4 linked regions of the Drosophila melanogaster genome follow. The protein of the gene in region 4 interacts with the protein of the main gene of each other region in a pairwise test. Each region holds a gene or a part of one and is shown on either strand. Other genes may lie near its edges.

Region 1 (6,784 bases), on a different chromosome or scaffold from region 4:
TTTATTTTGATTATACAAATACTTAATATACTATATGGGAACATCGAACAATGGAGCAGTCCAACAAAAGACGGCTGTGGGCGGAGCTTGGGTCTTGTGGGGCCCCAAGCTCCAAATGATTATTATTATTTTGGTCGAGTTGACTCCTCAATGGCAATCATAAATAAATGAATGCGTACACCAAAAGAAAAGATACATTTAAGTGGAGGCTTTAAGCAGGACGATCGAAATAGAAAGACAAGAATCTACCTTCTAACTAACCCCACATTTGTTCTCAGTGCACCGTTTTTTTTTTTTCGATAATTCATATGCTGTCTGAACTGGGCGCGTCGGGTGTTCTAATGTCTAATGGGTATTCAAGGTGTTGACCGAGACACTCACATGATTCAGGCGTGCTGCGATCTTGGCATGCTCCTCCTGGTAGGCCTTTCTGGCCTTCCGTTTGTCCTGCGAGAGGTGGGTCAACTTATCGCAGACGACCTCCAGCTGCTCCGCGTTGAACTTGAACTGTTTGGCCTGGTGGTCCAGTTCATCCATGTAGGATCGCCAGGATTTGGAGATCAGGCTGCCTGCAAAGGGATAGAAGGCTAACACGCATTAGTAACACTCATGTGATTACATGACATTTTTTATATAAACTGAACTTATGGTTTTAGGATAGTAATCTGCAGTATATGATGATAATGATGATATTTTCCCAACCACATTTACGTGATAACTGCCTGTTACATTTGCTATTATGAAAATTGTCATAAGACGGTCTCTATCTTCATTAGACACAGTCTTAAAACCCGTAAACCGCAACTAATCCACAGTTTACCCAGACATATGACTCATTTGGAGTTTATCCGCTGAACAGTTGGGTAAAAGTGCAATGAATCATTTTTCTTAAGCCAGCGTTATGCAAAAGTGACGCAAATACCTTGCACAGATTTTTGGAAAATTATTTGCTGAGCAAATCGGAAACATAATACCCACGTCTGTTCCTCTGGTTTTTTTGTTTTTCGTTTTTGGTTAAAATGTTTGCGCTTCGCTAGGCTGCAAAGTCTGAAGTTTAGACAGTAAACTGCACTCAAATCGAGCGATTTAAGTTCATGGTCAAGGTGAGAAGCGAAGCAGATAAACAGTCGGAGAAGTACATATATATGTATATTGTATATATAGTTGGGCTATATCAAATGGCCCGAACTAAATCATTCGGCTACGCTTTTGTGCACTGGTTGGTGTGCGTGTACATTCGCATCATCCAGCGGATACGTTTGTTTGGCCATGTAAACAGCAGGGAAAACATTTCCCAAGCGAAAAGCACTGACATCGCCTGCAAATTATAGCAATTTTCATGTGTTTATCTTCTAGGGGAGCAGAAGCAGCTAGAAGCAAAAGACAGCTGCACTTTGTCGACACTTTGATGAGCTCCGCAGAACGGCAAAGCAGCGAGTGTGCAGGCCAATTTAGTCCAGAGTCCTGGCTGCCCGGCTGCATCCGGATGAAATGACTATGCCACCCAGAGCACGGTAGTTGAAAGCGATTTGCTTGTCTGGCGATTATCTCGAGTCGTTTGAAATATGTAGAGCCCAACGCGTCTCATTTACTTGGAAATGCGATCAAGTCACGCGAGATAGCCAGTGGCCAGTTTCTCAAACCCAGCAGGCTGCCAAAAATCACACCAAATGGAGTGCAGGAAGGGCAGTACAGTATTTCACTCTCCCAACCCTTAGAACAAGATATGCTTTCATGCCATCCCATCTCATATAGGGGCCATTAACAATAACATCCACCAGCTTATCGACACTTGCCATATAACTGCCGCACTTTTACCCTGACTAATGGATGATACTGGCCAGTGGCCACCCAGTGAATGTTGTGAGTAATGCCCAAGAGGTCAATGGGGTTCGAGCATCTCATCGTGAAACTCGGTCCATTTAGCTATAAATTGTTGTCTTTACTATGTTGAACATATGTTTTGTATAAACTCCACCACCCAAATTCAATTTAAACTTAACTTATCTTTAACATATGAATGCAAGCATATAATACTGCACTAATTGTTAAGGTCTTTGGGCCGGATTAAATAAACTAAAATTACGTTTTAATTTATACTCTTTAATAACCGATTCTGCAAACTCATAGATAGCGAACTAAATAAATAGTAACACGAGGACAACGTACTTCACGTACTGGTGGTATCACTGACCAAATAATTGGCTATACAATCTTATCGCACCTGTAGTCTTACCTTGCATTTCGTCAGCCCGATCGATCTTGAGACCCTGCTGGGCCACAGCGGTCAGGCTGATGGCGTACTCCTTGTCGCACTTGGCCTTCATCTGGATGGATCGCTTCATTGTCTCCATTAGCCGGAGTTCGGCATCCTGGCGGACGATCAGCGCCTCGTGGGCGGCGCGACTTTGGAGGGCTGATGAGAAGCCCATGATGCTCTCGTTACTCCCTATTTGGGTCGCGGCTCTCTGTGAGATATGCACATATGTAACATAACATATAATGGATATTATATATAGGCAAGTGATTCAGAACAGAACAGAACAGAACAGCGGTTTTTATCGTGGGTTATGTTTTCGTTTTTTGATATTGTTCTGGGGAGAGCGGAATGCTGGAAATTCTACATGAAACACAGGAAAAAACACAGCGAACATGTGGCAAACACTTGTTGCATGACAATTTGGTTATTCGCTGGCGTTGCTTCTTTATCGCCTCACTAAAAATTAATTATTTATGTCACACGAGCACTTTTGTTTTTCTTTTTACAAAAAATAAACTTTCACATGCGTTGACATTTCTTTGGTGTTTTTTTTTTTGGCACTTTTTACTTTTGCATATGTCACGACATTTGCTAATTACACACGATCTCGTCCCGGCGTTTGATTAACGACTTAATTCGAGTCACTGGCATATGCATTTTTATCCGCTAATTAACGCATTTTCCGCTCTCACCCATAACCGACACTTCCACATGAATGTATATATTTATTTTGTAGTGCTTTTGGTTTTTTTTTTGGTATTTTGAATGCAACAGTTGTCTTCACTTGAACTTTTCCCCAAGTATTTTCCAAAAGCAAAGCGAGCCAAGAGTTGCGTCGCAGTTGCTGCTGCTGCTGTGGTTGTTGTTTTGGTTTCAAAGAGAAAAACTTGTTTTTCCCGCTTGCTGGGCGAGCAAACAAAAATAAACATTGCCCCAAGGAAGAGGAATGAGGTAGGGGGAGGGGTAGGAGCCATGGGGCAGGGGCGAAGTCAATAAGGAAACACAAGCGACAGAAGGTGTGTGCGGCAAGAACGTGTATCTTAAAGATACACAAGGAAAAATAGCAGTTCGATATCTAATCGTATCAGTTGTCACTTGTAAATATTGTCACAGAATTGAAATTGCGTGTTGAATTTCGTATATTTACTCATTAATTTATAAACATTGATTTATACGATCGATCACATGCTATTTTTTCGCTGTGCATTTGCTGGATGCGCCAGAACAGCAACTTGATGCATTGTCTGTATGTGCGTGTGCAGTTTGCCAAGTCGAGTAAAAGATATAAACGGGTTAGACAGCCAGCAGCTAGGGGAGCATCCCCAGCCACCAGAACCAGAACAACAACAACAACAGTAACAACAGTAGCAGCGGCAGCAATAAGAAGATGCTTAACCGTTATATAAATTAAAAATGTAAATAACAATGTTTACAAGCGATCTACACTTCTTGCTATTTTAGGGGAACCACATTTACCGCAGAATTTCTTTGCCGTCGGATTTCACTTGCAAATCGCGTAACTAGAGCACAGTTCTTGGCACAAACATAATTGAATAAGGCTGGTTATCGTTTTGAAGGCTTTATCAGAACTTATTTTGGCACTTCGAGATGCGTGCACTTCACATGGCCACAGAACTCAAAAATCGCGAATGGAGCTCAGCGCCGAGTATCTCGAATTGGTTTGGCTCGGATTGGATCGAATCGAGTCCGGAAATCGGGGAATATTGAAAGCAGGCCCAAACACAGCGAACCGTTCGCCTCGAATGTTCAGCGGAAACTGAGCGCCGGCACTGAAAACACTCGAGATACTCGAAACACTCGGGCCGATGCGGCGAATGAGCAATGCGAGTGCGGCGAAAGAAACAGAGAGAGAGAGAGCACAGTGAGAAAAACCGGTTGCAGAACACCCAGCAAACATTTTCAAACAATAAAAGTCACCATAAGGCAGAAGAGGCTTAATAGTGGGTTTCACCAACGGGATTAGTTATGTTTGCTTACTTTTGCGTTCTGTCGTTCCCATTATTTATGGTATAAGTATATATTTCATATAAGAAAATTCTCCTTTAAGGCTGATATTTGTGTTTCTTTTTTTTTAGAAAAGAAGATCCACGAACATCCAAAAGAACATTTAAACTTATTTGTATCAAAACTATAGTACAGTACTGATTTTTAGGTGTTCCTATGAAATGTTTCATAACTATAACTTTTTGATGTCTTAGAATCTTAATTAGGAACACTTCGCTATCTTAAATATCAATAATTTTTGTCTTATAATTACAACCTTTCTATAAAATTGCAATCATTTCAAGCAAAAAAGGTCACTTTTTCTATACTCCTTCCTGTACATTTTTCCCCAACCCAGCCCATAATTGTTCGTTGGCAGATAGCAATGACTGCTGTAATCGGAGAATTACCAAATTTCCGCACTATTAATTACGCAGGTTCGGCTCTTTCGTGGGACAGCTGACAGGATCTAAGGACGAACACCCAACCAGTCAAACACCCACCCACTGTGAGTCGCTGTGGAAACGGAAGCAGCTGAGCTGTAACCAAAACAAAAGCTATGATAAATGTTATGCGTGGATCTACCCTTTGTTCGTCCTGGGCCAATCACCCCCGCAATTGGAAGCCATCGGTATCTCCATTTAATTTACACCCCCTTGCTTTCGTCGAACGTCAGTTTCAGGGATAAATGCGAAAATGCATTTGCGCATCAAAAGCAGGCGGGCCAATAAATTCATTAATAAATGGGAAAGTGAAAAGCGCAGCAACTCTGACGCTCCTGTCGCTTCACCGGCTCCTGGCTCTTTGTTGTCCTTGTGGTCAGAGATGAGTCCTGTTCTGCGCATAATGCAAACAGTGTTTGCCAAAGTTCTACACTGCGATGAGACTTACTTTTAAGAGTAGAATAAGAGGTACAATCCCTTTTTAAGACCAACGAAATATTTAAATAATTCCATATGCAATGATACTATTATAAACTCAAGAGACTTAATTAGTACTAATACAGATATATCCAGAAGGTATATCCTAGAAGGTACTTGGTAATGCTGAATATATATTATTATTGAATCTAGGAAAGAATAGTTATAGTTTTCTTTAAATCTAATTTTAAATATATTTTTTTGAGTGCCACCAATCCACTCTATAATCCACCACCACCGCCCCCACCTGCGGCTGAATAATGGATATTGAAATCGCATCGGCACTCGAAAGGGTGTGAGATATTGTACTTTATGCCGATTAATGCTACCATGCTGGAGGACAAAACCCCTGCCCATTGATTTGATTGCCGGGCAAATGGCGTGCCACCTTCGCCACCTCTCTTGGCCAGACCACTTTGCACCCAGCCATTCAGTGCGTCTCTTGGCCAGCCTGTTGCCCATTTCAGAGATGCCCTGCTTGCTCTTTTTGTTCCGCCAGCCAGGCAGCCAGTCATTCATCTCCCCGTTGTGTGTGTTTTCTTATGGGTTTTAGGGTGTTTGCCGTTGTCTATGCAACGGATCCGTGTCCCGGGTCCCGGATTGCTGTGTTTATTTTGGTTGGAGCCAGACGGCAAAAAGAAAAAAAAAGGGAAGATTTACAAAGGCGCCTCGGCCTCATAAAGTATTTAGTGAGACGGCGATAGCGACACCAGGCACCTTCCGGTGTCCTGGTGACTGCACAGGATTTAATTCCTTTATTTACTCGTCGTAGTTTCCCTAGTACAAGTCGAATACCGAGCACTGCTATAAGTAGTGAGGCGGCCTAAATATCTGATTCTAATTTAAGCAGACTGGGTCTATTGTGACGCATAGTTGCCTCACATAAATATAAATCTCTTCGGATGTCCCATTAATGTTCGCGTTGCGTTTGCAAGTGCAATTCTTGGCGTTTATAATATGGGGCATTCAGTTTCAGCTGTTCGGTTCGAAGAACAGAAGAAAATGGGTGGCAACAGTTGGCGGCCAATTGAAACTAATGAATAAATGACTTGTGCAGTGTAAGACAGTAAAATTGATGAGAGAAGTTCAACATGGGTCTGAACTCATGGATATATGTACATGCACATATATCTATGTTCGGTTTATATAGCTGGTTGGCCCGGAATTATTCGGCAATGGGAACTTGATGAACAATAGATGACCGGGCTGCAAATTGTGCAATACAGTGACAAATGTATGTAAATGCTTGATGGGCTGGAAGAAGTAACCAGATCAAAACAAAACCATTAAGATACATTGAGCAAGATATACAAATGTATCTGGTATCTTTCAGATGCATTAAGTATCTGAGGATGCTTTGTCCATTGAATCTCTATGAGGATCAGCATCCGTTGGCTATGTAAAGTACCCTATGAAGTGTTATCCCCAGTTTCATGTCAACTATTTGCTTTCCAGACGTAACACCTTTCAGTTAGAAGGTTGCTCCAATGTCAAAAGCCAAGACAGCTCCTTTGCTGCAGCCCGGCTGCTTAGCATTCCAGTCAGAAGTCGGATAGAAGCTATTGAGCGGACGACTCCCATGCCAATTTGTTGCTGTGTG
Region 2 (6,090 bases), about 14 Mb from region 4:
ATAAATAATAAATAATAAATAAAAATTAAAATTTCTTTATATGTAGTAGTAGACCATTTTACAACGAATTTGCCCATAACTCTAAATATGTAATTTCGTTTTTTGGATAAAAATTATGTTCGGCCCGTCTTTAAGCACGAGTACACAGTTACTCGTTTATTGTATAAACACGCTCATTCTATAGATTCTATATAAAGATTATTACGTTCTCAATTTACCGCGATTGGAGTGAGAACAATATTGGGCGACACTACTAATAAAGTGGCTACATAGTGCAAAACCAAAGACACTAGAATATTCTAGTGTCTTTGGCAAAACCAATGTATGGCCGTTACGCATTAGAGGGCTGCATAACACCATTCAAACCATTCAATATAACAGTCGTGCTGAAATGAACTAAGTGAATTCGGCTCGTTTCGCAAGTGATCGTGCATTTAAACGCGCTCGTTGCCGACATCAATTCATTCAATTTGATCGGCACATTCTGAAACGAATGAAGTGAAGTCCGAGTAAAGTAATTGGGTGTTTCGAATGTCTTGTCTGCGTATGTGCACATTCGCACCTACCAAAGACTCTAGAATAACAAGATACGTAACGGCCATACATTGGTTTGGCACTAGGCAGCCACTTTTTTGGTGACGGCCAAAATTACTCTCTTTCCGCTCGCTTACGATGAGAGCGTAAGAAATCTAAAAATAGAATTTGCTTGCTGGTGTGAGTAAAAACAAGAGACGAGAACGCGTATATGTGTGCATGTTGTGTTAGAAGACGATTTTCGGGCCGAAATCAATTCTGATCGAAGAAACGAATTTACACATTTGTGGAGTTTTGGCCAATTTCGTAGCAATATGATGAAATTGAGAGCTTTTTAAAAATATCAAATTGGAATAAAAAAAATGAAACTGAAAAACAACTAAATCTAATGTGAATTTTAAATAATAAAAATTGATCATTTACATACATCATATTAGGTCAAATGACTAAATAAATATACGAAATAATTAAAGCAAATACAAAGGAAATTATTATAACTACTGTAAGTTAAAACATAAATTATCCAACAAGACATTACATTTAGAAATAAATATTTCATAACAGTAGTAAAATAAATCTAATACTCTAATGACAACTAATCTAATATAGTCATTTTTAAAATTTATTTTTTTTATTTTTTTTACGTTAAGGCAATGCAAAACAAGAATTTTTCGCATAGTGCCAATTGATCAAAAATAATATAGATATAAAGTCCAAGAACTTCTAAGGTGAAGGGCATATTTTGTCAAATTTACAATGCATGAGCATAAGTGTGCACACATGCAGTTGTCTGCTATTACTGTATGCGTAGAAAAGAGCTCTCGCTCGTGTGCCAAAAAATCGTATGGCGTTACGCATCTTGTTATTCTAGTGTCTTTGCACATACTATGTGCGTGTTAGTTTCAATAAAAGACAGTTATAGTATGCTTAGTTCGTGTTTTTATATTATTATTCATTATTAATTAAATGATAATACATTATATTCTTATTTTATAAATATACTAATTTTTAATTTTCAATATTATTATTAAGAAACATTATTTTATTAATATTTTCTCAATTTAGAGAGATGGCAGAACGTTTGTATTTTATTAAATATCGAGCGTCTGAAAATGCTCTTTCAGAGGCAGCGCTTGTTGGTGGTATGCAAAAAATTTTGCAACTGGCTTTATATAAGTTTGGGAACATATTTTTATAATCGTTCCACCAAGCCTCGATAAACAATGCGTCGCCTGATGTTAGATATACAAACGATTCTATTATTTTTTTTTTACTATACCATTTAAAATATTCAAAATTGACAACACAATTTGGTAAGATCGCTAAATAATCTATATAAGACAAATGCTACAATATTATTATATTGTTATAATAACCATAAACATAAAAAAAACCAACTTTGACTTCATCCGCGCTATCCGAACTCATTTTACCCAATGACAACATTAGGAATTCAGAGTACTCTGAATTACCATTGAAAAATCATTCGTTTCATTCATTCTTTGAAGACATTCAGTTAGTTCATTTCGATTGGACTCCTTAAAGTCCGAATACATACGAAGTGAACGCAAAGAGAACGCGACCAACTGAATGCCATGTATTCTGAATAGGCAGTAAAACGAATGGATACTCTAATTGCAAACAAAGAGAATGGTGTTATGCCCTATTACGCATCTTGTTATTCTAATGTCTTTAGGCGTAAATATGTATGTAAATCGAAAGTTCATTCCAATCTCAACATATCTGTAAAAGGGTATACTAGATTCGCTGATCACACTTTGATAAATTTGTTGATATTGTTAAATTTTTGTTAGCATTGTATATTTTTATCGATTTGCTAAAAAAAAAATTTGCCACACCCACTATACCGCCTTAAACCGCCCAATACTGCCATGTCCACATTTTTTGAAAAATTGTTGGATATTTTTTCATAATTTTATTGGTTTTGTATATTTCTATCGATTTGCCAAAAGATTTGCAAATTAAAGACCTAAAACCGCGCAAAACTGTCACGTCCACATTTTTGAATAGTTTTTAAATTTTTTCTCATTTTATTCCCTAACAAGCGATAGATATCCCAGAATAGTTCGGATAGTCGAAGAATTCGAATATAGCATTCTCTCTTGTTCTTGATTTCGTCACTAATTATTAAGGTCCCATGTTTTATATTCCACTATTCCTCAAATGCCGCAATCTTGCTGACGCTATCTTGACACACACTTTAATTGTTTATGGTTAAAGATAGATTTATACCTGATAGATCTACCAATATATTTCTTTGATAACTTTTCTATACAAACGTCAATAATGTGTGGAATATTTTGTTCAGTCGTGAACAATGTTCCTTTAAACTCCTTTAATATTTCTAGCGCTCTGAAAGTAATTCTGAAAAACCGCGGTCCTGATGTGCAAGACGAGGTGGTTATAGATTATTGTTTTGGAAAAATTTTATTTGCTGGCTTCGTGTTATGGCAACAAGGGGAAAGTGTACAAAAGCAACCTGTGGTGGAGGACGATTTTATATTTCTTTTCAATGGAGACATTTACAATACTTCAAAGCCTGAATATATGTCTGACACGACTTGGATAGCGGAAAGGCTAGCTGAATGCCGTTGTAAAGAACAGAATATTTTGAAGATACTTAAGCGATTGGAGGGACCACATTGTTTAATAATTTATGACAAACGAGAACAAATCCTTTACTTTAGTCGCGACGCACTTGGAAGAAATTCACTATTAATTGAACGCATTTGTAATGGCTTCCAATTATTGAGCACATCACATTTTGAAGATAAAAAAATATCACTGGAATTGCCCCCATTGGGTCTTTTTCGAGTTAAACTAAATGATCTGAATTCGTGCGTATTGTATCCATGGCAGCCCCTCAATAATTATTCGACTCAGCTTTTACGCAACCTTGATCTTGCGATTGGGTGGAAAACTGCAGTAGAGAGTCCAATGTCGCCAGATTGGATGTTAAATTGCAACCCCGCATTTAGTTATAACTTCTATGAATTTCAATACATCAAGAATAACGTGAACCTTTATAAAAACTTAATAGATCAGTCAGAAATTAAGTATACTCTATCTATTCTCCATACACTGCTATCCGATTCGATAAAAAATCGTGTTAGAAACATGGCTCCATTTTGCAGACTCTGCATGCAAAAATTAAATATATCGCCTCCATGCAGACACGCAAAATTGTGTATTCTATTTTCGGGTGGCCTTGACTGTACAATTTTGGCCTTGCTGGCCAACCAATTTGTACCAGTAAATGAACCCATCGAACTTATTAATGTTGCTTTCGAAAGCGTTAAGGGCCAAAATATATCGGAAAAGCTTTTTGATGTACCAGATAGAAAAACGTCATTAGTATCTGTCAATGAACTAAAACAGCTTTGTCCGGAGAGGTGCTGGAATCTACTGAAAGTGAATGTAACTCGACTTGAATTGCAGCAGCACCTAACATCACGTATAAAGCATCTTATATATCCGCTAGATACGGTATTAGATGAGAGTCTTGGATGTGCCTTCTGGTTTGCTTCGCATTGCACTCACTCTACTGCTAGAGTCGCTCTTATCGGAAGCGGGGCAGATGAACTATTTGGTGGGTATACCCGCTATCGCAACAGTTATAGCCGTTGTCTGGGAAACGATCTGGAGCGCCAACTTGCTGTGCAAAACGAACTTGAAAGGGACTGGCAACGTATTTCGGCCCGTAATTTAGCCAGAGATGACCGCATTATTGCAGATACTGGTAAAACAGCAAGATCCCCATTCATCGAAGAGAACTTTGTAAAATTTATAAGATCGTTAGAAGTGTATCAAAAATGTTGCTTTGGTTTCCCGGAAGGAGTCGGCGATAAATTACTTCTGAGACTGTATGGCTATCAAATCGGTTTGCGAGATGTTGTGTTCTTAAAGAAAAGGGCTATTCAATTTGGGTCCCGAATTGCAAACAAAAAACAAAATGGCTCTCATCAATCTGATAATCTTTAACTTAAGCTTGTAAAATATTCGTGTATGTTATGGTATCTTATCAATAAATAAAAAGTTTAACTGATTTCACAATAATTTACGACGATTCCAGCCTGATCGTAATTTTTTTATCGCACACTTTGGAGGCACAGTTATGCTCGTTATCTACTTATGTAAATAAGCTGGGAAGTTGCGGGAGCCTCTAAGCTCCTCTTTCTCTCTGTTTCTCTGCAATGAAGTCTCTTGTCGTTCACTTTTGTAACATATGCATACGCGTAGCTATGCTCAATTATATCTGTAGCCAACAGAAAATAGACTTCGATCATTCTAAAATCGTCGTGGTATTTAAAATAGCAAATTGATAAGCTTGGGTGATTTCTGCATAAACAATTCTCAGTGCAAATCATACACATTTATTTAAAAATTTATTAAATCACTTTAGCTACAGAGAGCGTTTTCAGGACTACAAAATTTTGACAATTTTTAAACAAGGTGCAATGAAAATTGCAAATTACGTTTGTTTACCATACAAGATTGCAAATATAGTTGTATTTGAGCGCGGATATAGGTGAGTAACGGACTGTTGCCCCTAATTTGCGCCAGTTTGCTGTAAGTTCCATCTTACTCTTGACATATTGACATTGTTAAAATGCAAGGCGACTGTAATATATAATAGCGGACGATTACGTTCTTCATGTTCTGATCGTTGATCTTCAAGAAACATTTAGATTAAAAATTCGCAACAAGGTCGAAAACTAGATTTAGAACATTTTTAAGAGCTTTAAAAAATCATTCCGTTGATATCGCATTACAACTCTCTCTTGGGCAACTTAATCTGGTCATATTTAACAAGAAGTTTTCCAAAGTCCACCTTTTTAGTTCTTCCTTCCCCACCTTCTCCGTTGAAATTTGTGCCATTATCTGAGAATATTTTCTTCGGTGTTGCTCGTCGAGACATTAAGTTAGTAAGACACATCGCACAAGAGCTGGTATCCAAGCTGTAGTATATTTCTAATTGAACGTTTTTCCCACGGTCACGAGGATATATCCAAAAAATCTACCCCGGTGTAGGTAAATGGCTTCATGGCGACCCTGGCAGGTGGCAATGGTGACATTTTGGCGGAATTGTTTTTACATCTCTGACAACATTTTCGGACCGATTTATATACGGTATCTCGTTGAGCTTCTCTGAACTGTATACCCTTAGCGTACTTAATTTGTTCAAAGGTTACAGTCTTCACAATTTTTTCAAGTTTGCATCTAGTTCGAAGGGTGGCTGGCTACGTATAGGAGAAACGTAGCGGTGGCTCTATATAAAAAAAACCCTCGTCGTTTACTTGGATCGCTTGTATGTTTGATATCTTTACCACCAAGTTCGTTTTTCGAATCTCGTTTCGCTCGCTATCCGAAACGGTGCGTCCAGTGTGCTTGTCTGGTTATCGAAGAAACAGCGGACCATTAATACATTAGGCGACGCTTAGGGTTTAGAAATGAACTTTGTTGCCAAGTCTGCTACGTTTAGCTTCGTCGGAACCCAGCGCCATTGATTAGCGCTCGTGGTCTCCATAATTTCTC
Region 3 (6,010 bases), 7.1 Mb from region 4:
TTAAGTAGCCTAAGAATTGCACCACTGACCAGTATCCAAATATTATGATCTTATTTATCTAAGCCTAACAACAGAAAACACAAGCAAGTAATTATTCTCTCTACCAGCTAAGATATGAAACGCAATAAAGCCTAAACATATTCATATCACCACAGACTTTCGTTCTGCCCAGAGGAATGCAAAGCTGATCGGTCATTAATCAACGTACAGGATTGCAATTGCAGTGGCACTTTGAATGGCCGCTTGGCCAGTCGAGGGTTAACGAGCTAGGCCAATTGCCAGTTGCAGTGGCAGTTTCCGTTGCAGACAGTAGCCAGCGGGTCTTAGTAGTTGCAATTGCATCCCGCTTTGTGGGTAATCGGAGGGTTGGTCAAAGGCCACTCATAAATCAAGCAGCAGGACGGCTACTGAACATAACTGAAATTGGACCTCAGTGGGTCACGAAGCTTTACATATCATTAGGAACTACTTTCTTTATGATGACTACACTACTTTCGCATATGCGGTTGTAAACTTTCGTGCCGAAAATTCCACTATCAGCATGCGAAAATGGATCACATCCAGAGAAAACTTACCACAAAGCATCGTAGCATCCATTCCTGACCCCTTTTAACAAAAATGCCCAAATACACATAAATTGCAAATTTTCACATTGGAAAGACACTTTTCCATTGAGTACACTTTAATAAGAATTTAAATAAATTAAAACCGATCATTATATTCTTAAACATATATAAAAAAACATAAATTAATGCAGATATGGAATCCCAATTGCTGGTCTTGACTAGCACATTTGAAAAGTGTTCGGTAGAACGTAGAGCTTTGCAAATGACTCATTGGTGGGAAATTTGACCAAAGCGATGCAATTACTATTATCTGACAACCGTCTAACGAATAACATAAGTTAAGGATAATAGATTACATTATTTACAAATACCTAGTAGCTAGCCCTTTAATCGTCGAAGAATAGTATTTCTAGGATCCGTTTCTGTGCACTTTTCTTCCGTTCCTTGTTCATTTTCAGCAGTTCCGTGGTGACTAATTCTCCCAGCAAATGCTCAGACAACCGCTGCACACCCGGATGATTGGGCGGCGCCTGGAATTTCCCGAAGTTTGCGGGATGCGAACTGCTGGCCTGATGTGGGAACTGCTGGTATAACTGGAAAAGGAAGTCCGTGTTTGACGGAAACATGTTCTGGTGCTGTTGCTGCTGCTGGTTGTTGTGGCTATTATTGCCGCTGGGATTGTTGCTCCCGCTATTGCTGCTACTGTTATTCCCATTTCCATTGCCCCGCTGCATGGGCATCGAATTGCTGTAGTGATTCTCCTGCTGCATCATAGCCTGCGGCTCCATCAGATCATGGCTGTTCTCATCGGATTCGTCGTCCGAGTCATTGCCAAAGTGACTACCATTGCTGGTCATCTGGTTATGGGCATTGCCATTTAGTTGAATACGGGGTTTCTTCATATGGAAATGGCTCGATGACGAAGAGTCTAGACCATCGCCCTTGGGGTTATAGACATGTGACTGTTGCATCTGCAGAGTGGAACTGTTGCCGATGGAAGCGCCCGTGGCGCTGGAAGAGGAATGTACCACCGGAAGCTGCTGTTCAGATGCCGGCGACTGTTGCTGCGCTTGTTGCTGCTGCTGCTGCTGTTGTTGTTGCGTCTGCTGCTGAGGATGATGGGATCCTGCCCCAATTCCTTGCAGCGGCGACGACAGCGGTGATTTCATCGAGGATGATGTTGAGGTCAGACTGCCAGCGCTGTTCTGGGCCCCGTTCATGCCCACGGAGCCATCCTTGTATTGATCCTGATAACCTTGCGAGGAATCAGCCATTACAGCTGCAACGGCCGCCGCCTGTTGCTGCATTTGTGACTGTGATATGTGCTGGAGCTGCTGTGAGGCCACGGCAGCCGCAAAATCCCTGAACACCTGGTCCGCCTCGATCTTCACCTGGCCATTGACGTTTTCCAGCGCAGATGCAGCAACGTTACTCAGAGCACTCATTGCGTGTTGCTGATCCGGCTGGTGGTAAAGATGACTTTGCCCTGAGCTGCCAAACTGAGACACATTCTTCATGGAGCCATTGGACTTATCAACCTGGTATTCGTTGTAGCCGGAGCTGTTGGCGGACTGTGGAGATGTTAGGAAGTTCGGCACATGGCGGTAGGACTTGCGCGGCTGGATGTGCTGGTCCAAGAACTTCATTTTCTCCAGGTATGGACGCGACAGGTGTTCGTAGACAGGTGGATCGCCCTGCTTCCGCTGCGACACGTAGCGTTCGCGTAGGTACTTCCACCGCTTCTTGCACGTGTCCACTGGAAAGGAGGGCAACATTTATATAGAGGATCTGCCGGAGGAGCGCGTCTTCCTCACCATCCGTGCGCAGCTTCATCGCAATCAGCTGCCAGGCCTCGTCCTTCGTCTCGTACTTGCCACCATTGGCGCCGCCGTTGAGGTAGTACTTCTGCCGGTTGTAGATCACTCCGTGCTGCGCTACCTCGTCAATTAGCTGCTCATCCATCATTTTAGTTTAATTCGTGTTTTCAGCTGCCAATTTGCCTTTGGTGTATGTCAGGCCATTTCCAACACTGTTCATGGGACATCGAAACAGTGTGACCGAAAATGTAGCAGCAGAGTGTCAAATATAATTTGAAGATATTGATATCGAAATATATTCGACAATTTGCATCATGTTTAAATTCGTCAGCATTTTGATTTATATATAGTAATGCATTTAATTAATTAACACGCAATAAAATTAATAATTTCAGCAAAAGTAAATCATTTGCTGTTCCTGAATTTACTAAATAAAAATGTTTAAAAATTTAACTTATAAGTTACCTTCACAAAATTCTCGAAAAATAAAAGTCAGCTATAAAATAGTTGCTATAAACGTATTATGGTTATTTGAAATTTTAAGGTGGGTTCTTTTGCGAACCGAGATTCAGTCACACTGGCAATTTGGTACCCGAAGTTGAATTGCCGTTTTGTGAAGCGGATAGTTACCTGCCGATAATCTTAAATAAAAATGTTTAAACTGGCCCGTATGCTCCTGCCGCAGCAGCGGATCCTGGCCAGCCCGCTGCGCCTGCAACGCCTGATCTCTACCAGCGACGAGGTCAACGCAGAGCCCATCATCAAGTCCATGGACACCATTGGCGGCCTCCCCACCGAACTGGTCAACGAACAGAAGCTGAAGAAGACTAGCAGGTAATCAATCTACCGGTTTTCGCACTTGACCTTTGCCTTGCCTGTTTGTTTTGTTTACATTTCGACCGGTATGGGCATGGGCATGGTATGCATGTATCGGAGGCCTGTTTTGGGCGTGATTTTCGAAAAGGAGTTTCGGGGTCTTTTTTTCTTGATTTCAAGTGGGGGAGAAAGTTTGTATCGAGCCGCTTATGCAGTCACGTAGACCATAGATGCGTGCATGTGTGTGTGTATGTATTTGTGCCTGCCTGGTGGTGTCAGTTATGGGCTCTATTGTTCTTGACTTTTGTTTTGTCCACAGAACCTTATCGACGCTCCAAAATCACTCGGTTCCCATTGCCGCTCGCGTCACGGTGTCGAAAGATGAGAGTCGCGACTTTATGGCCGTGTTCCCAGGTGAGATTTGTTTATTTATGCCCAGTAACAATTATCATGCAAATACTAATGCTAATTATATTTCGATGTGCAGATCTTGTGCGTGACATCACCACCGTGACGAAGGCATACAATTGCAGCGACGCAGCCAAATGGTTCGCCCAAGTCCTCCAGTACAATGTGCCCAGGGGCAAGAAGAACCGCGGCATCCTCACCGTGCTCACGTATAAGAATCTAGTGCCCACCCAGGATCTTACGCCGGAGAACATAAAGCTCGCCCAGTATCTGGGCTGGTGTGTGGAAATGGTAGGAGTTTTATGCATTAAATAGTTTTCCTAATACAAAGTTATCGATCATCTTTTCAGCTCCAAAGTTTTTTCATCATCTCAGACGATGTGATGGACAACAGCACCACCAGACGCGGCCAACCCTGCTGGCACAAGGTGGAGAACGTGGGCCTGACTGCCATTAACGATGCTCTTATGATTGAAAACGCCATGTATGCCATTCTCAAGAAGCACTTCAGCCACTTGGACTGCTATGTCGCCCTAATGGAGCTCTTCCACGAAATCACATACATCACTACCTGCGGACAATCGTTGGACCAACTGAACTCGAACCGCTGTGTCTCGGAATTCACAATGGAAAACTACAAAGCAATTGTCGAAAATAAGACTGCCTATTACTCCTTCTACCTTCCATTCGCACTTGCTTTGCACTTGGCTGGGTAAGTAATGGCCATACATATATAAGATTCCGCTTATTAATCTTCCGCTCTATTGTTTAGCTATAAAGACGCAGAGGCCTTCCGTCAATCGAAGACCATTCTCCTAGAAATGGGCAACTTTTTCCAGGTTCAAGATGATTTCCTCGACTGCTTCGGTAATCCGGAAGTGACTGGTAAAATTGGAACCGACATTCAGGACAACAAGTGCTCGTGGCTGGCAGTGGTGGCAATGCAGCGAGCCAATGTCGAGCAAAAGCAAATCATGGTCGATTGCTATGGCAAAGAAGGTAAAACTAGCTTAGCAAACCCGCACAATTAGACATTGACTTTTGAATATTAACCTGCAGAACCAGCTAAAGTGGAGCGAGTGAAAGAACTGTACAAGGAACTTGGACTGCCATCCACCTATGCCATTTTCGAGGAGGAATCCTACAACATGATTAAAACGCACATACAACAAACCTCACGCGGGGTGCCTCACCAGACCTTCCTGCAAATACTCAACAAAATCTACCAACGTGACTCCTAAATTACTCAAGCGCAACGACTTTACGGATACGTTTTTAATTAAATTGTAGTTTTAGCATTTACATGGATGAACTGTTAGCAAGGGCTCAGCAATTACAACCGATATGAACTTTTTACTATACATACAATGTTCTTTGCTTAATCGTCTGTAAAATCAAAGGGCGCAAAAGCCTTTCGGAAATCTTCCACATACGCCACTTCTTCGTCCTTATCGAGAAGGCAATCCTTCCAGTTCACTTTTTCATCGCAGTTAAGAAGATTCTCCGAACAGAACACGTCCCTGAAAAAATGAGTTTAGTCAAGAGTTGGTAGCTTAAATCGAGAAGTTAACGCACCTTGCGAAATGAATGGGAAAGTGTTTCATTTGCCGCGTTATAAGTGTGCTATCGTCGGGTAACTCGGCCAGGAAATAAGGTCCCATTTCAGGCAGCATTTTCTCAGAATCCAATGCGGGAAGTGTCTCAAATTCCAGATTAAATTCCTCCGCCTTATCCTGCAATGTTGTGGGATATACATCATATGTTATAAAAGGTTGAATGTCGTGAGCATACCTCAAAACTATGTTTTATCTTCCAGGCATAGCCTTCTTCAAAGGCAAGCGCGTTGATTTGTAGGTGAACCGATTTATAGTGCCGTTCAGTAAAACACACCACTTGGCCTAACGTTTTGAAGAACTTTCGCAAAGCTGCCTTGAACTTGTTGAGCTCCTTCCAATCATCTGGACTTAGTTGAGCAGCGCAGGGCACATGCTTGGTGGACAATATCATGACATGGTGTTTGTTAATCGGTCCTTTGGCCAGAGCAAGATAAAAATGTTCGCCCACAGTGATAATGAGATGCTTCTCCACATCAGGTGAGGATAAACAGAACCAGCATTTATCTACAAATATAGGAATAGTATTAAGGATGCAGCTTGTAAAATTAAGTACTAGACAAACCTTGCTCAATCTGCGGTATTCTAGGACGTTTATCTCTTTTGTTATTATCACCGCCTTGTCGCTTGCGTCTGCCACCATCCATGTCGTAGAAGTATTGTCGGTTTTCTGACTGAAAGAATATATAATTAGTCACTTGGAGTACTTATAGATATGTAAAGGTTACCCACCGAATCATTCTTGCCAATAGCTCCGCCTAAGTCCAAGCCAATGAAAGGACACGGAATT
Region 4 (4,891 bases):
AAAGACCATTGTCATAATTTAACCGATAAGCCAGTTGATTATATTAAACAGTGAAACAGCAATTTTTGGAAATTAACTATCTATAAGCAAAAAACTGATCATTTAAGTTTTTCCATCTATATATTTCTCTTTTATTATTTCTCTCTTTAGGATTCAGTACGTAATGATAGTTTTATTATGATTCTAAAAATGATAGGTTTTTGTTACAAATCAGTTGTAGTACTATTCGATTTGATTTGTTTTTATGGTATTTATGGCATTTGATGGTATTTTTTTTTTAATACAAATTACTATTGCTCCAGATTTAATACGGGTTTCAATAAATTGATATACTTCTTCAAGCCCCGCAGATTGTCTTCCTCATAGTGGGGCAACTTAGAGAGTCGTTCGAACCAAGCAGCCACCTTTGGATACTTTAACTCATCCAGATCAAGAACAGCGGCCAGCGAGGATGCAGTAGCTCCGCAGCATAAATCAGCTATGGTCAGTTGCGACCCGGTCAAATAGGGATTATCCCCTAGAAAGTTCTCCAAATGGCCATATGCATCTTTAATGTTGTCCACCTTCTCCTTGGGTACCAGGCTTACTTGGCGAAGAAAATAGGGTATACTGACATTTCGCAGCGACATAAACAGAATGCTGGCATCAAAGAACAAACGCTGATCCACCTGGGCGCGCAACACCAGATCCCTGGGATATAGCTCATCCGAATTGGCATACTTGTCCACCAGGTAGCAGACAATAGCATGTGAATCCCAGATAAGGGCACCATTATCTTCGAGGAGTGGTACGGTGTGCTGCGGGTTCTTTTTGAGGAACGCATCCTTAAAGTGATCTCCTGCCAGTAGATCCATTTCCTTGTATTCGTAGTCCAAGTTTAAGGCCCGCAAGGTCAGCTTGCAAGCGCGAACAGGAGGACTAATATCCATGCCATACAAAACCAATTTATCCGACATGATGCGATCACCAGAGAGACCCAAGTTCCACTAAATTTGCCACACACAGAAATCTAAACGAGCTTAACTAAACAACCCAATTGGGTGCGCTGAGCTTGCCCCATTTGTATCTTAAATAAACTTTTGTAATTGTACACTGACGATATCATAAATGAGCGATAAAAATATTACGGTCGGGTTCCCCAACTGTGAGATAATAATTACTGACTCAAGTCCCATATTAAAGTTTATAAATTTCAGTATTTATTATAAATTCAAATATTTAAATAAATATAAATTAAATAAAAAAATAAATTAAATATTTTATATATATGTTATATTTTATTGAAGAAGTTTACGTTTTAGAAATGGATGTGTATGTTGTTAATTGATGGAATTCAAACTTGTGAAATGTCATATTTAAATATAAGTTTAGTTTCACTTGTCGCCCAGCTTGGTCCACTTGCTGCGCAGGAAGGCGACGTAGCTCTGGGCCGGAGCTTCGTTGATCTCCTTGTAGTAGGGCAGCTTATTGAGGCGATCCAACCAGGCGGTGACCTTGGGATATGTAGCAGGATCTATGTCCACGGCAGCGGGCACGGCGCTTACAGTGGGTCCGGTGGACAGATCGGCTAGGGTTAGCGAATCGCCGGCCAGGTAGGGGCTGTTGCCCAGGAACGTCTCCAGCAGCTTCAGACCCTGGTGTACGGCGTCCAGTTTTTCCTGGGGCACTTCGGTAACACCGTTTATCCAAAACGGGCGGCTGACATTGGCTATACTGGCATAGATTACACTGGCATCGAAGAAGAGACGCTGATTGACGATCGCACGCTTGGCCAGATCCTTGGGATACAGCTCATCCGACTTGGCATACTTGTCCACCAAGTAGGCGGCAATGGCATGGGAGTCCCAGATGAAAGTGCCATTATCATCGAGCATCGGTACCGTGTGTTGGGGATTCTTCTTCACATATTCCTCGCTCAGGTGCTCGCCCGCCTGAAGATTCACCTCCTTGTACTCGTAGTCCAGATTCAGGACCTTTAGGGTAAGTTTGACGGTCCTCACACAGGGACTGAGATCTGTCCCATAGAGTACAATTCCAGAGCTCGACATGATACGTGTTGTTTACCCGTCAGTGTTTTTCTTTCGACTGATCTCTCTATTTACTGTACATATATACACACCTTATTGCCTCAAGCTTTTTGCTAAATGAGAGAGCATTTCGTAAATCTAAGATAAAAGCTCGAAACCATGTGTTAAACAGTTAAAAAAAAACCATATATATAATATGTATGCCTATTTCATCATAACAAACATTAATTACCCCCAACTGATAGTTCTGGAATCATCTATATGATACTAATTTTAAAACACCATATGCAGTGGTGAACTACAAAAAACATATACTCATCAAAAACAAAGTAGGTCTCTGTGAACTCAGGAACATTGGTTGTCAGAAGAAATTAATTTAATACAGTTACTTGTTTTATGATTTATTGTAATATACATCTATTTGAATCATGTAGAACCCATGTAAATTTACAATTCAAGTCTTCCTAACGAAGCTTGAAAGTTTCTAAAAGCTTAAAGCTTAAGTTAAGCTGGCATAAAGCTTATCGTTATTTTGGATAAAATTGTATGATCTGATACACAGAAGTAATAATATTAAACTCATAATTTTATAATTATATTTATATGAAAATGTTTGCATAGAAACACTGCTAATGAGTCTGGTTACTTTAGGTTTCGTTTGGACGTTTCTAGCAGTGTATATAAGTAGCCCCTTTGGTGCTCCAACTATGATCAAATAAATCACGGGGACATTGATCAAATATTGACACAGCTAATAGATAGCAGACCGACTTATCCCGGACATTAATAAACAATCAGGCAAACTTAAACTTGCAGCATTATGACGTCTTTGTGGTAATTATCAAGAAACTAAGTTTAATATCTAATCTTATCGCGTTTGAAAGAAATTTAAATTATTTAGACTGCCTTGAGTCAGTTGTGGATGGCACACTGTCTGCTACGAATCTCAATTCAACCAGCTAGAAGGCAATTAGTTAAGCAACCACAATGGCTAACCTGATTCTATATGGCACTGAGTCCAGTCCGCCGGTCCGTGCCGTTTTGTTGACCCTTCGTGCCCTCCAGCTGGACCATGAATTCCATACGCTGGACATGCAGGCCGGCGATCATCTGAAGCCGGATATGTTACGCAAGAATCCCCAGCACACGGTACCCATGCTGGAGGATGGTGAGTCATGCATTTGGGACTCACACGCCATCATCGGCTATCTGGTGAACAAGTACGCCCAGTCGGATGAGCTCTATCCAAAGGATCCGCTGAAGCGAGCTGTGGTGGATCAGCGGCTGCATTTCGAGACCGGTGTCCTTTTTCACGGCATCTTCAAGCAATTGCAGAGAGCTCTGTTCAAAGAGAATGCCACTGAGGTGCCCAAGGATCGTTTGGCTGAGTTGAAGGATGCCTACGCCTTGCTGGAGCAATTTCTGGCGGAGAATCCCTATGTGGCCGGTCCTCAGCTGACCATCGCCGATTTTAGCATTGTGGCCACCGTGAGCACTCTGCACCTGAGCTACTGTCCCGTGGATGCGACCAAATACCCCAAATTATCCGCCTGGTTGGCACGTATCTCCGCATTGCCCTTCTATGAGGAGGACAACTTGAGAGGAGCCCGCTTGTTGGCCGATAAGATTCGCTCCAAGCTGCCCAAGCAGTTTGACAAGCTGTGGCAAAAGGCCTTTGAGGACATCAAGAGCGGAGCTGGAAAACAGTGATGCGGAAGCCATTGTCGCATCGAAAAGAGAGCATTGCCCAAAGTAAAATTGTATGTTAAATGGTATTTAATATGATGTATTAAAACTTACGCTGCTGGCAAAATGATTTAAAATGTATATTATGTTTGAATAATCTTCTTTTTTTCCCAGTGTATAGGCTCACTATATACTGTTCTGAGTTAACTGAAGACTTTGTAGCCATCTAAGTGCTCTTGGCCGGTAAATGTCCTTGATGGCGAACATTTTTTTTATGTTGTATATAAATTACTATCTAGCGTGGAGTGCATTTCCAATGGCAACGCAGCCAAAAGTTTACAACTTTTTTGCGCTCATTAAAATTATAAAATTTTACCCTCCACAAAAGCGACACAAAATAGAAGAGGGCGGGGTAAATGAAAAGCGCAAAGTTTTCCTGCCGTGTCGTGCATGCTAAAGTTGTTAAATCATAATTAATTTATGACGGCGCCATCCGCCCAAGCAGCTAGCCAGCCCAGCTCCGCAGCAAACCCAACTCGCCCCCGTTTTATGCCACTTCCAAATTTGCCTCTTATCTGCGCTCGGGTCTCGAACTCCCCGCCCTTCGCTTGCTCCAAGTCCACAAAAAGGACGCGCCGTCGTTTAAAATACTCTTAAAAAAGGAGCCAAGTCTAAATACCTGCTGGGTGAAGTCCGTTTCCAAGCCCCACGGAAGTCCTGCAGGAGATGCTAACGTGAGCGGAAATTGGAGTCACGCAATCCGAAGATATTTCTTATGAAGCAAAAATTCCAAAACTTTTTGTTTTTATTTTGCAGATGTATGGAAATCTATAAAAAGTACATGAATTTTCCATTTGTTTCTTACTTATTTTCAATTTCTTCCCTACTTATAAACCTTTGTTGGCCTTAAAACACAAATTTTTTTAAAGCATTCCCTTCCTATTTAAGCCCCAAAGAAAAGAAAAAAAATCATAAGCTTTAACGTTTTTAGAAACTCGTGACTACTTTGTGGGCATCTCAGGAACTTACCTTGTGTCGCCGCGTTTTATGCGCCTCATTGCAACGGCGACGAGAAAGTGGTGGCAGGCAAACTAATTGGTTTAATTTCAACTTTTACTTTGGCCCAACCAGTCAGCATGCCACCCCTACTTACCCCAAACTCACCCCATCTCGCCCCG

What was found.
Region 1: the proteins of GstE1 (region 4) and FER interact in a two-hybrid assay, tested with the Drosophila melanogaster proteins (one large-scale study listed by BioGRID).
Region 2: the proteins of GstE1 (region 4) and CG17486 interact in a two-hybrid assay, tested with the Drosophila melanogaster proteins (one large-scale study listed by BioGRID).
Region 3: the proteins of GstE1 (region 4) and Fpps interact in a two-hybrid assay, tested with the Drosophila melanogaster proteins (one large-scale study listed by BioGRID).

What each region holds. Positions count from the first base shown.
Region 1 is NT_033777.3:9,390,505-9,397,288, forward strand, and holds the start of FER (FER tyrosine kinase), read right to left. Parts: upstream 4,043-6,784; 5' UTR 3,737-4,042; exon of another isoform or gene 3,386-3,736; intron 2,469-3,385; 5' UTR 2,433-2,468; coding exon 2,237-2,432; intron 570-2,236; coding exon 382-569; intron 1-381.
Region 2 is NT_033778.4:4,616,225-4,622,314, forward strand, and holds CG17486 (uncharacterized protein), read left to right. Parts: upstream 1-2,805; 5' UTR 2,806-2,841; coding exon 2,842-4,536; 3' UTR 4,537-4,609; downstream 4,610-6,090.
Region 3 is NT_033778.4:11,304,468-11,310,477, reverse strand, and holds Fpps (farnesyl pyrophosphate synthase), read left to right. Parts: upstream 1-2,949; 5' UTR 2,950-3,035; coding exon 3,036-3,217; intron 3,218-3,518; coding exon 3,519-3,613; intron 3,614-3,686; coding exon 3,687-3,898; intron 3,899-3,957; coding exon 3,958-4,319; intron 4,320-4,379; coding exon 4,380-4,606; intron 4,607-4,666; coding exon 4,667-4,848; 3' UTR 4,849-4,967; downstream 4,968-6,010. Other genes in the region: CG7745 (uncharacterized protein), read right to left, coding at 953-2,322, 2,381-2,531; CG7741 (uncharacterized protein), read right to left, coding at 4,986-5,127, 5,183-5,340, 5,399-5,727, 5,786-5,894, 5,953-6,010.
Region 4 is NT_033778.4:18,395,589-18,400,479, reverse strand, and holds GstE1 (glutathione S transferase E1), read right to left. Parts: upstream 2,088-4,891; 5' UTR 2,049-2,087; coding exon 1,374-2,048; 3' UTR 1,257-1,373; downstream 1-1,256. Other genes in the region: GstE2 (glutathione S transferase E2), read right to left, coding at 291-956; GstE10 (glutathione S transferase E10), read left to right, coding at 3,015-3,737.